Alligator mississippiensis: one gene and its partner. The protein of the gene in region 2 binds, or shares a complex with, the protein of the main gene of each other region. Links are inferred from orthologs where the notes say so. Each region holds a gene or a part of one and is shown on either strand. Other genes may lie near its edges.

Region 1 (7,342 bases), on a different chromosome or scaffold from region 2:
AAATGTTTGGAAAGTTCACAGGCATTGTTCCTAAAATGAGATCTAGAAGAACAAGAGATTTCCTAATATCTATGAAGGTAATGAATAAGCTTACCCTACAGCAGCATCCAGAATCACGGTAACAGGGATGTTCAACTTGCTGAGTGCCTTTGCCATTTTTTGCCTATGAAAATAATGTTTATGAAGTTGAAAAGGCTTTCTTGGAAGACAGTGCTGGTGAAATACAATTAATATAGTTGAAGTACTATATGAAAGACTGAAATCTAACTGTGGGTCTCTACCTTCCCACATCCTCCTTCCTCTGTACATGCAATCATTCTGCTTTAAAGAAGTAAGTTGTGTGATAATACACAACAGGTGAGAACCAAAAAGGGAATTAGTTGACTGTAAGGGAGATAATAAATAGACCATATACAGAGTAAGGTGCAAGATTCCTCACTAATCATTCAGCTTAAACAGCTGTAGGCATCACACATAAGTTGCACACAATTTAAGTCAGGGGTGTCAAACATGCAGCCTACAGCAGGTAGAATTGGTCTGCAATAGGAGCTGGACCTGATGTCATGGGATTTACACAGGGGTCACTCTGGGGCATAAGCTGTATGCAGCACCTGCATCAGAACAACCCTGTGCACTGGCTCTGGGACCAGTCCAGATGGGGCAGCGCTGGAGTCAGTATGCAGGGCTGGCCCTCTGTGCCATGTGGTGTGCCTATGGACCAGGTATAGCCTGTGCACCATGTGCCAGCCCTGCTCTGGGGCTCGTGCTGCTTGTGGTGTGCAGGCTGAACCCAGTGCTGTAAGCACTGCCTGTTGCAGAGGAGGCTGGCACAGAGTATGCACCATATGCATTACTCCACTGGACAGTTCTCCACGCTCGCTGAAGGATGCACAAATGGCCTGGGGCCTGACCCCAACTAGCCCTGGAGCCAGCACTTGGGGCTGGTCTGGTGGGGTGCCACATGCAGCTGAATACTTTATGATGCTGATGGTTACAAGAATCACTGCTTCAGGTTTTTCTGGTTTTTTTTTAACTGACATCTTAAATTGACTGCACCACTGCAAGCAACCACCCAAGCCAGAAATCTGTTTGCATAGCAATGGTTAATTTTTAAAGTTCTGGTAAATTTTCTGCAAACATTAGTGATGTTGGAATTGCTTCTTGCAGTTCTTACTGAAGTGTGTTTATACATTTCCTCTCAAGGAGGACATAATGTTTTGTCAGAGCAGTTGTTGCCTTTTAGCAGCATTTAAAAAAAAGGGGAAAAGCTTCTTCCTGATAAAATGAGAACTGACCTTAAAACTAACTTCTTTTACTAATCAAGAAGAGAGTAGTGACAAGTACTTGCCCTGCTTGATCTGGCTGTGATTCTGTAACGTAAACTCTGAAACGCTTCTTTGACTCTGCAGCTGCTTCTAGCACTCTGAGGACCACTCTTGAATAGGCATGGGTTAATATTCGCTGTCAAAAGGAGAGATGGAGTTTCAGGAAAGCCTGGCTGTTAGGATTTCTTGTGCTACTTTACTATGCACAGGTATTTTAAAGCATTGGTTTCAGTTACAGGTTTCCCTTGCCAACCATGGTTTTAAGTATTCATGCTTAATATTCTATACACCATTTTGGCTACCACAGTATACAGTTCTGAGTCACCATGGTTTTCCGTGGCTGTGCATCAGCCTGCCACCTGCCATTTTTCCCATAAGCCTTTTGTCTTGCCAACCGCGGGAACTTTCAGGAACCTAACCCCAGCGGTTGGCAAGGGAAACCTGTACTTGAGGTGCCTACTGAGATTTTTATAAAAAGTGAGCATTTTACGAGTTAGAAATAGAGCTTAATGGTAGGTTTCCCAGAAGTGTTTTTACAGCGCACGGCACGTCAAGTCATTGCATAAACCTTGACTTTTTTTAACTGATGTCTTATTGCAAGCAACCACCCAAGAAACCCTGGCACTGAGAGGGACCGAGAAGTCACCGCTTCCAATGCTTGAATGAGACGATCTGGTTGTCAGCATCAGGCCAGAAGTTCAACCTCAGTTTGCGCAGAAACAAAGGTGGAGGGAGAGGACAGAGAAAGGGAGTCTTAGGAAACACAGGAAGATCTGAACTTGTGATGCAAACAAAAATACGATGATCAGGAAACTTTATTTCTCCTTACTTGAGAGAGCCCACATCAAATCATGCGATCACCCTGAACACAAGGGAGTAAGATTTGGTCACCCTCCCCTTCTGCCTCCTGCCCAAACAGCGGAGCCCCAGAACCGGTGCAGCGCCCGCGTTGCACTTACAGCACCGTCTTTGATGAACGGGTGGCAGAGCTTCGCGATTTTGTTTCTGGAAAGAGAGATTCTCCTGAGGAAGATCTCCCCTCGCTCGATCATGATCTCTTTGCACTTGGAGTAGTCCTGCAAAAAGCAGCGAGCATGGCGAGTGAGGGTTGGGAATCCCTTCCGCCGCGCCGGCGGCCGCGGGCTCTTACCGTGTACTCCAGCGAGGTGAGGCTGATGAACCGGAGGAAGAGCTCTCCCCCAGAGGAGACGGCCACTGAGGAGTCGACGCCTGAGAGCATTTCGATGGCGTTTTTGAGGTTTGCGCGGAAGCCCTGCATGGTCTCCTCTGAGAGAGGGAGAGAGGTGCGGTTTGGGCATCGCGGCGAGGGCACCGGCTGGCGCCCCGACGGCTCTGCCCCGCGCGCGCAGCCCTCCTCGGGGACATCACAGCTCCCCCCACCCACCCACCCACCCACCGCAGACCGATCCTGCACAACTGCACACGGTTCTCCTGCTCGAGAGCAGCTAGCACCGGCGCGGATACGCCCGGGGCGGGAGGGGGGCAGCCACCTGTGTCTCTCTTGAGGAACTCGAGCAGGGCGCGGATGGCGGCCACGGCCGAGGCCAGGTCCGGGTCATCCCTCGTCTGCGCCTTGAAGGCCTCGATCAGCGCTGCAAGGCAAAGGCGGGGTTCAGCGGCCTCCCGGGTCCCGCTCTCCCCCAGCCCCGCCGCGCCCCGCTACCTGCTCGGTCCATGGCTCCGCGCATCCCCTTGTGACACCAGGAGGGCGCCGGAAGTAGCGGGGGACGGTCATTGCGCGGCGCCGGAAGTGGCGGGCGGTGGGCGTCATCGCGCGGCGCCGGAAGTGGTGGTGGTGGTGGTGGTGGCGGCGGCGGTGGGGGGCGGGCGTGCCGGGCAGGATGAGCTTGGCCGGGGCGTGCCCCGTCCCCCGCGGCGCGGCCGTGCCCGGCCTCACGCCCGTTGCCTTCTCAGAGGACGAGCTGAGCCTGCTCGTGGCGGTCGTGGACGCCAACCCCATCTGGTGGGGGCAGAAGGCGCAGGGAGGCGGCGAGGTGAGAGGCAGCCCCCCGGGGGACGCGGCTGCGCCCTCAGCTCCTGCCCTCGCGTGTGCGGGCCCCAGGGCGCCCGTCGTGGGCTCCCGGCTGCGGAACGCTCCTTGGGTGGGTGGCTCGCTCGCAGCTGCAGTGCGGGGAGGTGGCCCCGGGGTCCGGCACCCCTTACCGGGACATCCCGTCTCAACAGGAATGGCGGTGTGCGCTGAAAGCGGGGCCGACAGCCTCTCCCCGCCTGCGGTCCAGTCGCTTATTCCACCCTTTACCATCCGCCCGTTAGTCGGGTGCTGCGGTTTGCTGCCTTCGGCCCCGGTTGTCAGGAGCGTGGAGCGCTCGAGCGTGTGCTTGGAGTCGCCAAAAGCTGCAGGGGCTCGGCACGGCTGAAGCGAGGCCGTGCTGTTCTTGGGTCGGGCGCCCCGGTCGCGTTAGGGGATGCACGGGTGTTTGAAACTCTGCTCGACTCATCTCTGTTGAACAGAGGAGACTTGAACAGAGATTCAAACACACATTCGTGCATCCCCTTACGCGACCGCGGCTCTCCTCTCCTCCCAGAGTTATTGTGAGCGAATAACTGATCTCTCTCGCTGTTTTTTGAAGATTTTGAGCCCTATCCACGTATGGTTCTAGTGCTACATATTTCTGGAGCGTCACTGATGCTTTCTGTCCTTCAGAGGGAATTTGCTGCCTCCTTTCAGCTTCTCACCTTTGTGAATATCGAACTCTGAGGAAGGCATTACTTTGAGGGAGTGCTTTGTTTAGCGTGTTTTTGTTTCAGATGGTGATGGTGCTAAACCACGTGTTTTCCTCGCTCCTTCACGCATTGCGCCTTGTCTTTTTCTGTTTTCCCAACAGTTTACGTTGTCAAAATGCCTGGATGCAGTGATGGTGATGGGGAATTCGCACTTGTTCATGAATCGCAACAACAGACTTGCTGTGATTGCAAGCCATACACAAGAAAGGTACGGTAACTTTTATGAATAGCATCACTACTGTTATAATTTCCCACCCACGTCTCTTGCCTGAATTTCTTGCTCGGTGTGTTGCAAAGAATAATTGGCATCAGATTTAAATATATAATGTTTAATTTAAATTTAGACCTATTTTAAATAGGCTTAAATACCCTATTAAAATGAGTGAAAACAGACAGGGAAGGGATTTGGGGACTAATACAGAAAAACAAGTGGAAAAACAGTATAGGTTTTTAAGGCTTTGGAGAAGTGGGGATTGCTGCACTAAAGGAACAAAAGGAGGTTGTTTTCCTGTCTGACCTTTCCATTCAAAGCTACTACTACTTTCTGATCTAAGAATAAGAAACGGGAGGTTGATCCCTGCATTCAGGTAGTGTCTGAAGACTAGTTCTCCTCAGAGTGTCTCTCAGAGAGCCTTTCCACCAGGACATCCTTACACTGCGTAGAGCTTTAAAAAGACTCCTTACTCCATGGTGACCATTGCTTAGAATGAAATGTCACCTTTGACTTTCACTTTCTATGAGCGGCTCAATTTGTGGTTGTAACTCAGTTGTTATTAAAGTAACAGGCAAATACTGTGTTGCTGGTTCTCTTTCAGTCGTTTCTTATACCCTGGAAAGCGCTGGGCATTTGCAGATCTCTTTGGAGATGGTGGCAGCTGTGTAGAATCTAATTGCGCTGGCAGCAAGGATGGAAAATACGAATTATTAACTGCAATAAATGAAACAATTGCAGAGGAGATTAAAGACCTCATGACAAAAAGTAAGATGATCTTCTGTTAAAGAATGTAGTGGTTTCTGTAGCATGCTTAGTTTTTAGTGCCATCAGATGAGGGGAAGTATTATTTTGAAATGTTATATGCAAAGGAAATGCTTCAGGAGATTATACTATATGATAGACTCTCCTTTGCTTCTGTCTTCTGAAGCTTATTCTCCCCTTTCATTATGAGAATGTGCTTAAGGCCAATGAGACGCTGAGAAGTTCAGCACTTTTAGAGCCAGCCTTTAATGTTTTGTCCAGGAAAAATTGATCGAATGAACTGTATGGCATTAGATAAGGGAATGACTTTATTCAATAACCAGTTCTGTGCATTTTTATATTACAGCTGACGTGAAGGGCCAACAAACAGAAACTTTATTGGCAGGATCAATTGCCAAAGCACTTTGTTGTATCCTTCCCATAACTTCCCATTTAGAATATCTTTCTCTTTAAAAAAATAAATACATGCGAAAATCTTTCTTGTGCTGGACCCATATTGCTACCAGAAACCTTGCACTCTCTTGGTAGTAGTCTTAACCCCAGTATGTTTTTGTTTTCAGTTCTGACTTCTGAATATCATAGCTTGAGAGCTGAACTTCTGGTAAAGTTGTGCATGTTGGTTAAACTGTTTATTGCAGGTATCATATTTCCTCTCTTTTGTTGTTTTAAACGACTTATACATCTGTTTCTCAAGTGTTCCTAGAATAAAATGTTATTTCCTGAATAAAAGCTAATACAGATATTCACAGGCTGACCAAGGAGGTAAAAGGTACTTTTTTCTGTTGTTTGCATATTTTTCTGAGTGTTAGAATTAAGAGGAGGAAAAAATGCAGAGCTTTTCTTAGCTGGCTATAGTGGAGAAGTAAGGGTTTGTCCCAATCTTTTACAGGTGTACAAATTGAATTTTGACTGCAGATTGGTAGACGAGGAAAGAACATGCAAGAATTGTATGGCTTTAGCAAACATGTTAGAACTTTAAAACCAAGCACAGAAGGTCAGCTCTAAGGAGAGGGAAATCTTTCCACATGTAGAGCAAAACTTTGAATTCGGCAGTTACAAAGTACTACACTACCGTCTACCCTTCAGATTCAAGTTTTATACTCAACAGTTTCAAAAATGAATTTGGATACTGCTGCTTGTATTCTGTGGCTTGATTATGTAAACCAGTCTTAAAGTAAACTCTCTATTTAGCTTTACAGAGAAGTGGTGTAAAGTACCATCAGAACAGCTTTAAAAACCTGTGATCCAGTCTCTGTTTGACCGAGTAAACTGACAGTGAACCACACTGAAATTGTCTTTGTTCTTCATCATCCAGTTGCTTTTTAGGAATGAATGTGACAGTATCCACTTTCACAGCAACTCTGAATTTATTCTGGTGACTTCTGCTAGAGGTTTAGCTTCATCTTCTCATATTTGGTCTTAGTATGACTAAAAACAGTCTCTTGCTTTCATTCAGGTGTTAAACTAAAATGTAGAATTAGGAGGACAGAATACTGGTGGTTAATCGCATACTTATGGGATACTAATGCATGTTTTTTTTTATGTCTCCAATATGTAGCCAACCAAGAAATAAAATCAAGAATTTTGGTAAGAACTTTTGCCTTCAGTTGTCTTAAACGGCTTTAAAATCCAGTAGTCTTGTCTGTGCAATAATGGTTGTTGTTTGCTTTATTCAGGTTATAAAAGCTGCAGAAGACAGTGCATTGCAGTATATGAATTTCATGAATGTGATCTTTGCAGCACAGAAACAGGTGAAGTTACTGTTTTATCAGGTGGTTAACTATTTGGGTATTTTTTTCAATATCAACACACTCAAACATAAAAAGATTGTCACTGTTGCATTATGTGCTTCTAGTTTATGGGATCTTTTGGGAGAGGTGAGCATCTTCACCCTCAGGGAGAAAGTGTTTGAGCTAAATGTAGGTGCATGTCATTGCACTATAACACAAAAAGGCTACCAGGTCTGCCCAAGATTGCTACTGAGGTCCAGACCCCACTTTCCTACATCTTATATATGTGGTACGTTGGATAAGCTTCAGCCATCAGTCCTTGCCTAGCCATTTGGTGGGGAGGAAGGCTGGAACATGCAATACACACTAGAGTTCAAGAGCTTCAATTTGGGTGTAAACTCAGGGCAGTAATTCTACTGGAGGGTTATTTTTTGTGCTGCTGTAATTGTGATTCTTTTAATCTTTTTGATTGCAGAATATTTTGATTGATGCCTGTGTTTTGGAGAACGATTCGGGGCTCCTACAGCAGGTACCATGTACATATT
Region 2 (7,036 bases):
AGCAGGGTCTTACCTGGCAGAAGGGTGCACACTCCGCCACAATCACTTGGAATTTCCGCTTGCGCGCTGCCTCTTTCAAGAAGGCTTCCACGGTGTGAGAGTAGCCAATGGTCATGATCACCTCATTGGAGTGGATGTGCTCCAATGCCTGCATTGCAATGTTCTCCGTTGTGCCCTCTGCAAAGGAAGGAAGCCAGCAGGAAGAGGAATGTCAGGACCATTAACTGCCATGCTGAAACCAGCACCAGACCAATGCCAACAGGAAAAAAGGACACAAGCCCACAGCCACTTAAGTATGCCCTGAATCATCGCCACATGAGTAAAAACCCCCACACATTTTAGAGCTTGGGTCTGACAGCACAGCATCCTTTCATCTACCATCCCTTGAGGAGAAGGAACAGTGTCTCTTGCCCCAACAGGGGCTCCTGGTTACCTAATTCGGCAATTGCGCTATCCCCAAGCCAGGCTCTACATCACATCACCCTTAGTTCAGGCAGCAACACTGGCCTTTGTGCAGCAAGAACTGCTCAACTTCCTGTGGCCTTCATCTAGAACCCAGGCAGATCCTTGTTACATGCCCTTGAAGCAAAATGGAGACAAAGCACCCTGACTTTCACAGGCCCTCTGCCTACTCAGGGAAATGGGATGTGTTGAAAAGTCTCATAACTAGGGGAGTGAAAAGGATAGCACCAGCTCCAGCATCAGTCCCAGCCTAAATGGCTGCCCAGTCCACAAGCTGCCTCCTGGTAGCAAAGGGAGATTTGTGAGGCAATCACAGCCTGCCAGCACTAAGAGGGGAGACCAGGCAGTATGGCTGGCCCCAGCAGTGATGACCTGTGAATAAAGACAACGTGATGGGCAGAGCAGGGTCTGAGAGGCTCCTAGGAAGTGGGTGCTTTGGAGGCAATCCACTGCAGCAACTCCTCTTGGCTGTCTCCAGAGCTGCATGCTTGGCTGCAGGGACCATCCCTACACAGTGCAATAGCAAGGGAAGGAGCATAGTTCATTCAGTCTCTGTGAGGCCATGCTGTCCTGAGCACAGCAGAACTCAACCTCAGGCACTACATGCAGGCAAGATTTTATGTTCCTGCAGACAGGGTTTTGCTCAGATCTTCCCATGGGCACAGGTGGGAAGAATCTCACCTGTCAACACCTCACAGGTCCCTCACTGTTCCACTCTTTCCTTAGGACTAGATGTGCGCAGATTCTAGGACACACCTCACCTGCAAGACAGAGCCTCACAGCTCCCCGCAGTGCCCACGCGAGCTGGGAACTGGGTCTCCCCCTACTTCTCCTTCCCTTCCCCGTCATCCCATGAGCAAGCCACTCCAGTCCCATCCTGGAATGGGAAAGTCCTTCTGCATTGCATACCCAGCTCTATCAGCAGCTCATTGATAGCTTCAATCACGTTAGCCCTGAGTGGGGCGAAGGGGGTGTTGAAGTCCTCACTGAGTCCCCCAGAGGTCAGAAGCTTGTGCAAAGATTCCTGCTGGTCACTCTCCTCACTGCGCCCACGGAGCCTGCAGAGAGAACATGGCCATAAGACTAGGATGGGAGCAGGACAAACCAACTAACCTGACAAAAACTTTCAGGAGAAGCTGATTTGAACCATGCTGTCCCCATAGGACCAAGAACCAGCAAGCCTGATTACTGGGAGCATTGAAGAAGGGAGCTGCACCCACTCTCTCACACAGCTCCCCAACTGCACAGTCACCTGAGACTTTGCCAATAAGCCATACCCTCTGAAAGCTCAGTGAGCCAGCTCCGACAGCTGCAGCAGGCACAGGGAAGGGCCTTGCGCAAGGCTGCTGTGTCACCCAGAAAACTCCCCTGCATTTTACTAAGTGGGGAGAGAAGTGTCAGATCACAGCATTCAGGAGTTTGCACGGCAGCAACATCTACACTGAACAGAGCTTTGAGTGGAGATGTAGTCAGTGACTGGGGAACCATAGGGCTTGCTGGTGTTACCAATGGTCTCACAAGAGGAACTTGGTAGGTTCACCCTTAAAAGGAAAAGACTTTGGGAGGAGGGAGGGTGGAGATGTGCATCTTGTTTGGACACCTGAACGGGTCCTGCAAAAGCAGAAGGAAGAGAGGATGGTGCCCCTCAGGTCCACAGGACACTGTCAGCTCCTCTCCCAGGTTGACTATGGGGAAGATGCACAGGTGATGGGGGTGCAAGGACTTCACCTGCCATACTCCTCCCTAATGATCTTCAGCACTCGCCGCACCATGTTGCCCACCGTGGTCTCCGATGGCTGGGCTGCTGTCATCCTCTGGCCCTCCTTCCGAATGAGGCCCATCAGCTCCCCTGAAACGAGGGCACAGCTACGTGGTCACCAGGCCGCAGCCTCATGCAGCTCCACAGCTGCTGGCCCCAACACCAGCCTCCAGCTCACCCACCCTTGAAGCAGCTCTACAGCCACCAGGCCCAGCCCGTGCCAGGATCTCCAGCAAACCGATGGGGCAAGTGCTGAGAAAATAAAAGAAAGCCTTTGGCCCCGGACAGCAACGGAGTCAAAATGAGCAGGGTGCGCCAGCCTGCCGGGCTCCCGGACCCTGCGGGGCTGCAGCTGAGCAAGATACCTCGCACCGCCTCTGGCCAACTCCTACTGCATGTCTGCCTCGTGGGCTGGACGGGCAGTGCCGGGGCCGGATCCGGATCCGGCCCGTGAAGCGCTGCCGCCCGGCCCTGCCTTGGCTGCGAGAGAAGGGGGCAGGATCCCGCCCCGTCGGGGGGGAAAGGGCCTAGGCCCAAGAGAGGCGCCGGGCCGGGGCTCTCACCAGCTTTGCCCCAGCGGCCGCGGGCGATGATCTTGCGCAGCAGTCCCAGCGTCTGCCGTGCCGTCTCCTCGGAGCGTGGCCGCTGCCCGCCCCGCTTCAGCCGCGCCACGAAGGCCTCGATCTGTTCCGACAGCTCCAACTCCTTCTCGGCCGCGCCCGGCATCTTGGCAGCTGAGGCGGCGGAACCACGAAACCACGTCTGCTACCCCTACCCGGATCCTGCTGAGAACGGACCACTTCCGCTTCCGACCAGTCCCACCCTCCCATTGGCTGAGGAAGCCCCGGTCAGCCAATCCGGAGACCGTCTCTCGCGCCGGCGCGGGACGCTTGAGCGGGTTCGATGATGTGTCACGTTTCGAACTCTGGCTTAGCCCCGCCTACCCCGCCCCCCCGGTGTCCTCCAGCGGTGGCGGTGGCGGTGGCGCTGGCGCTGGGAGCGGCCCGTGCTCGGCGCTGCGGGTTCAGTCGCCGCCAGCGGGACCCGCCGGGCTGGGGGCTCGCGGGGGCGGGGGCAGCGCCCCGGCTCCGGCCGCGCCAGTTCTCAGGGCCTCCGTGCGGTTTCCCTCCCGCCCCCCGGCCACCCGCGGGAGCCAGCCGTGATCCCACGGCTCCTGGCTGCAGCGTCCGGGGGAGACATTCCGCGCTGCGGGCTGGCCGGGCTCTGCCCGTGCCCTCGTGGCAGCCCGATTTGTCCCTGGTTCCCTCGGGGCCGCGGAGGCGATGCCGCCTGGAGCCGCTTCCAGCCTGTCCGCCTGCGTCTGCCGGCTCGGAGTCCCAGGCTCCGGCTGCAATAACAAGGCATTTGCGCTCAGCACCCCCGCCCCTCCGCCCCGGTTGTTGTTTCAGCTGGGCCGGGGTGGGAGCAGCAGTGGGAAGAAAAATCTCCAGGGCAAACGGCCTGAGAAAGCCCAGCTGGTGGCTTCCCAGGGAGGACAAGCGGGGCCTCGGCATTAGCCGTTCCTGTCCCTCGGAGGGGTACGAGCTGCAGCCCCGTCCCCACACCCCAGCCCTTCATGTGGGCGCCTGCCTCCGGTTGTCTAGGGTGCGTTGCTGCAGCCTCCCACAGTGCTGAAGCAGCAGGTGAGAAATCGCTGCTCCTGCTTCCCAGGCAAGAAGTGCCTTGCCGAGGTCATGCTGGGCTTGAGCCAGCACCTTCACCCCACGGTTTTGGCAGCCTGTTTCTACAGAGCTCTTGCTAGGTGGCTGGAAGGGGCCACCCAGCGTGATGCTGGCAGCAGGTAGCTGTGGGTGGCTGCAGCCAGGAGGCACTGTTCCCATTGTACTTGCCCTGCAGCTGGGAGCGCCTCCCAGGCTGCTCCATGGTGGAACAAAGGGGACGAAGCAGGGATTCCCACTTAGTCCTGTTGGAAAGTGTGGAGTCCGCCCTTGTGAGGGAAATGGTGAGTGCTGGCAGGTTTGAGGAATGGAATGGGTTGGCCTCTGGCAGAGACCCTGCATGTACCCTAGGCTGCCCTGACCACTGAGGCCCACAAGGCTCCATCCCAAAAGGCATCCTAGTGGCAGATGCAGATAAATGAACCTGGATCACATGAGCAGGCAGCTGGGTCTGGGCAGCTAGTGGAAGAGACGTGGCTGCCCTCTCACGAGCGGATCCCACCTGCTGTCGTGTCCTGGGCCTTGAGTTGCCTCTTGTTGGGGAAATTCCCCTTCTGCAATGAGGTGCCACATGTGGAGTGTGAGATGGGGCGTGAGAGGGAAAAATTATTTTGCCCTAAGTAAGTGAAGCAGCTGGTTGTAGAGAAGGCAGTTGCATCTATAGGGAGAGTATGTGGTTTGTGCCATGCCACAGGTGTTTGTACCATGGGGGGCTGGGCATGTGGGGAGCAGCAGGAAGAGTCTGTACAAGGAGACGGAGAGTGTGACTGAGCTGGAGCCTGTGCTGGGAGGGAAGGGGAGGTTTGCGCGGCACAGCAGCAGGAGTCTGGTGTGGGGCACATAGCATTTACTTTGGACAGTGCAATATTGTAGAAGCTTAGAGCCAAAGCAAATGGGTGGGGAAAGGAGCAGCTCCTGGCAGCTTTGCTGTCCTTGCTGGTGAAGCCAAAACCTACCCAGCATAAGACAGGAATGTTACTCCTTTGTTTCCAGTTGTGGGAGTGTGGAGTCCACATCTCGGGCAGTCGCAGCAGCACAGTTCTCATCCCAACGCCATTCCACTCCCAGGCCCCACCTCTGGTCATTAGCTTATGAAAACCAAACCATGTGGGTCTGTGCTAGAAGCATCCAGGAAACGCTGGCCAGGGACCCCCTGGATGTTCATTACTTCCAATTCACGCTTCTCTGGTCCCATTATGATTTGTTTCCCTACCAGCTTCCTACACAGTGTCTGGGGCTAGGGCAAATGACACCAAGGCATAGGGTGGAGCAGAGCTTGAGAGGCTGTGTAACAGGATGATTAATCACTTAGAGCATCCAGACTTGCTACTTTTCACTGTCTAACAGCCCCCCCCCCCCCCTCCCACAGAGCTTCTGAGGGCCTAGAAGTCATCCTTGAAGGGAAAGGGGGAACACTGAGATGCCCAGAAGAACAGGCCTTTGAGCCAGGAATCTGTGCTGGAGTAGACTGGCCTGGCCACCCTAGCTTGGGCAGTATACAGGGTTCCACACTCAGGTCAGGCAATGGGGTGGAGGGAAGCACTGGCCTCCCAATGGGTTTTTTCTCTGGGTGGGGATTTGGGGCCTCATTCCAGAAGCACCTGGAGTCTCTGCAGGCACCCCAGATACTCCATGCTGCTGTGACTGAGCCTGGCTTGACAACCTCCTTCATATGCCTATAGAGAGTACACCCCCTCCCCCCCAATGCAGAGCCCCTCCCTCACCTCTCTCCCCACCCAAGGGAGTCCTGAGGTAGACCCCACCTTTTGCAGTAGGAGCCATGTATGCTGGGAAAAGCTGTATGGCCTGCCTGCAGCCTCAATTGGCTCAGGGAATTGCTTTGACTGGTTGGTGCATGCATGTATGTGCATGCACATGTGTATGCATACACCTGAGCATTTAGGCTTGGCTGGGTCTGTGCGGGGGTGCCAGGCTGGTTCTAGGTGAGGGCTTGGGATCCTCTTTGGCCCCCTGCCTACAAGCAATCACTTTCATTAATAAAATGGGGTTAAATTAAAGTCTTTGTTCTACCTGGCACTTGGCTTAGGCTGTATCAGCTTTTTGCCCAGAGATGAGCAAGGGCATTTTGTGTCCAAAAGCTTGTCTAACATCTCTCCCAGCTATAGTATTGCTCATAAATCCTGTTTGTCCAGTATTCCCTGAGCCATCACAGCTACAGGAACCCAACAACCTTGCCTCAGTGTCATCTATGGCTGCCCCAAGCACTTGTGAAATGCTAATTATACAGGTGAAAATAGTTACACGTGCCAGCAGCCATGCTGAGCCCCTGTGCATCATGCCAAATGCATCTGTTTGCTGCTGGTGCCTGTTTCCTGTAGCTGTCTGTGTCCTCTTGTCTTACACTTAACTTCGAAGCTCCCTGGAGGGGATCATCTTTCTGGTCTGTGTTTGTACAGTGCTAGTGCAATGGGCCCCTAGACGACGCTGCAATCCCATCCATGAATATCAACGCCAGGTGTGGGGCTGGACTGAGCCAGGCCTGCTGCGTCCAGGCATGAGCGAATGTCTCCAAGCGCCTGTCTCTGCCCATGTGTGTCAGCACCTGTCTTGGTTTCTTTGCATGCCTGTCTGGGCCTGCCTGGCTCTGCAGACTCTGTGTGCCGATCAGTGCTGATGTGCATCTGTGAACGCAGGCTGGGCCCTGAGCACATGGTAATGTGGTCAAAGAGCCTAGCTTTGGTGCTTTCCTCTGTTTGTTTAGTTTTCTCTGTACTAAACAGTGCAGCCCTAGGGATTAGGGAACAGGGAGCCAGAGGAAAAGAAACCGGACTCTGAGGTTATGACCTCCTGGTGGATGCTGTGGTGTTTACATTCCTCTGCCTCAGTCTCACAACTACTACAGGGCAGCAGCTTCTCAGAGTCTTGCTGGGGGAGGCTGGGTCAGCAGTAGTTGGGAGCTCCCTCACCAGCAGATGCTTCTGTCTTCTTCCCCTGCTGGAAACTCCCTCTCAACCAGTGATCCTACCGTCTCTGCACAGTCCCTCCTGCTGGGAGCTTTCCCCCTGGGTTCCTTACAGACCCTCCAGAGCCAAGAGGTTTGGTGTTGCCTGCTGTTAGCCAGGGCCAGAGCAGACATCTGGAGGGAGGCAGCAGCCCCATGCGCCTCAAGGAGCCA

Evidence for each region. Proteins that work in one complex are often made in the same cells at the same time.
Region 1: the proteins of EIF2B2 (region 2) and EIF2B1 are in contact, whole or in part, in a cryo-EM structure (PDB 7F64), measured with the Homo sapiens proteins. The link is inferred for Alligator mississippiensis from reciprocal best matches to the Homo sapiens genes EIF2B2 and EIF2B1. Residues at the interface, in NP_055054.1 of Homo sapiens: Glu107, Ser108, Leu109, His110, Leu112, Leu113, Thr114, Ser115, Asn242, Phe278, Asn280, Glu281, Glu282, Ser334, Tyr337, Arg338; in NP_001405.1 of Homo sapiens: Leu71, Arg74, Phe75, Leu78, Arg96, Leu99, Phe100, Arg103, Lys110, Thr117, Phe118, Lys120, Ser232, Phe235, Leu283, Asp287, Leu288, Val290, Thr292, Ser294, Ala295, Asp298, Glu299, Leu300, Lys302, Leu303.

Annotation. Positions count from the first base shown.
Region 1 is NC_081833.1:5,958,599-5,965,940, forward strand, and holds the start of EIF2B1 (translation initiation factor eIF-2B subunit alpha), read right to left. Parts: upstream 3,094-7,342; 5' UTR 3,035-3,093; coding exon 3,010-3,034; intron 2,939-3,009; coding exon 2,837-2,938; intron 2,613-2,836; coding exon 2,476-2,612; intron 2,402-2,475; coding exon 2,285-2,401; intron 1,462-2,284; coding exon 1,349-1,461; intron 164-1,348; coding exon 95-163; intron 1-94. Other genes in the region: GTF2H3 (general transcription factor IIH subunit 3), read left to right, coding at 3,188-3,340, 4,193-4,299, 4,907-5,070, 5,414-5,476, 5,807-5,836, 6,626-6,654, 6,744-6,818, 7,273-7,326.
Region 2 is NC_081825.1:261,220,585-261,227,620, reverse strand, and holds the start of EIF2B2 (translation initiation factor eIF-2B subunit beta), read right to left. Parts: upstream 3,013-7,036; 5' UTR 2,948-3,012; coding exon 2,785-2,947; intron 2,312-2,784; coding exon 2,191-2,311; intron 1,521-2,190; coding exon 1,372-1,520; intron 178-1,371; coding exon 14-177; intron 1-13. UniProt on the Homo sapiens protein: Acts as a component of the translation initiation factor 2B (eIF2B) complex, which catalyzes the exchange of GDP for GTP on eukaryotic initiation factor 2 (eIF2) gamma subunit.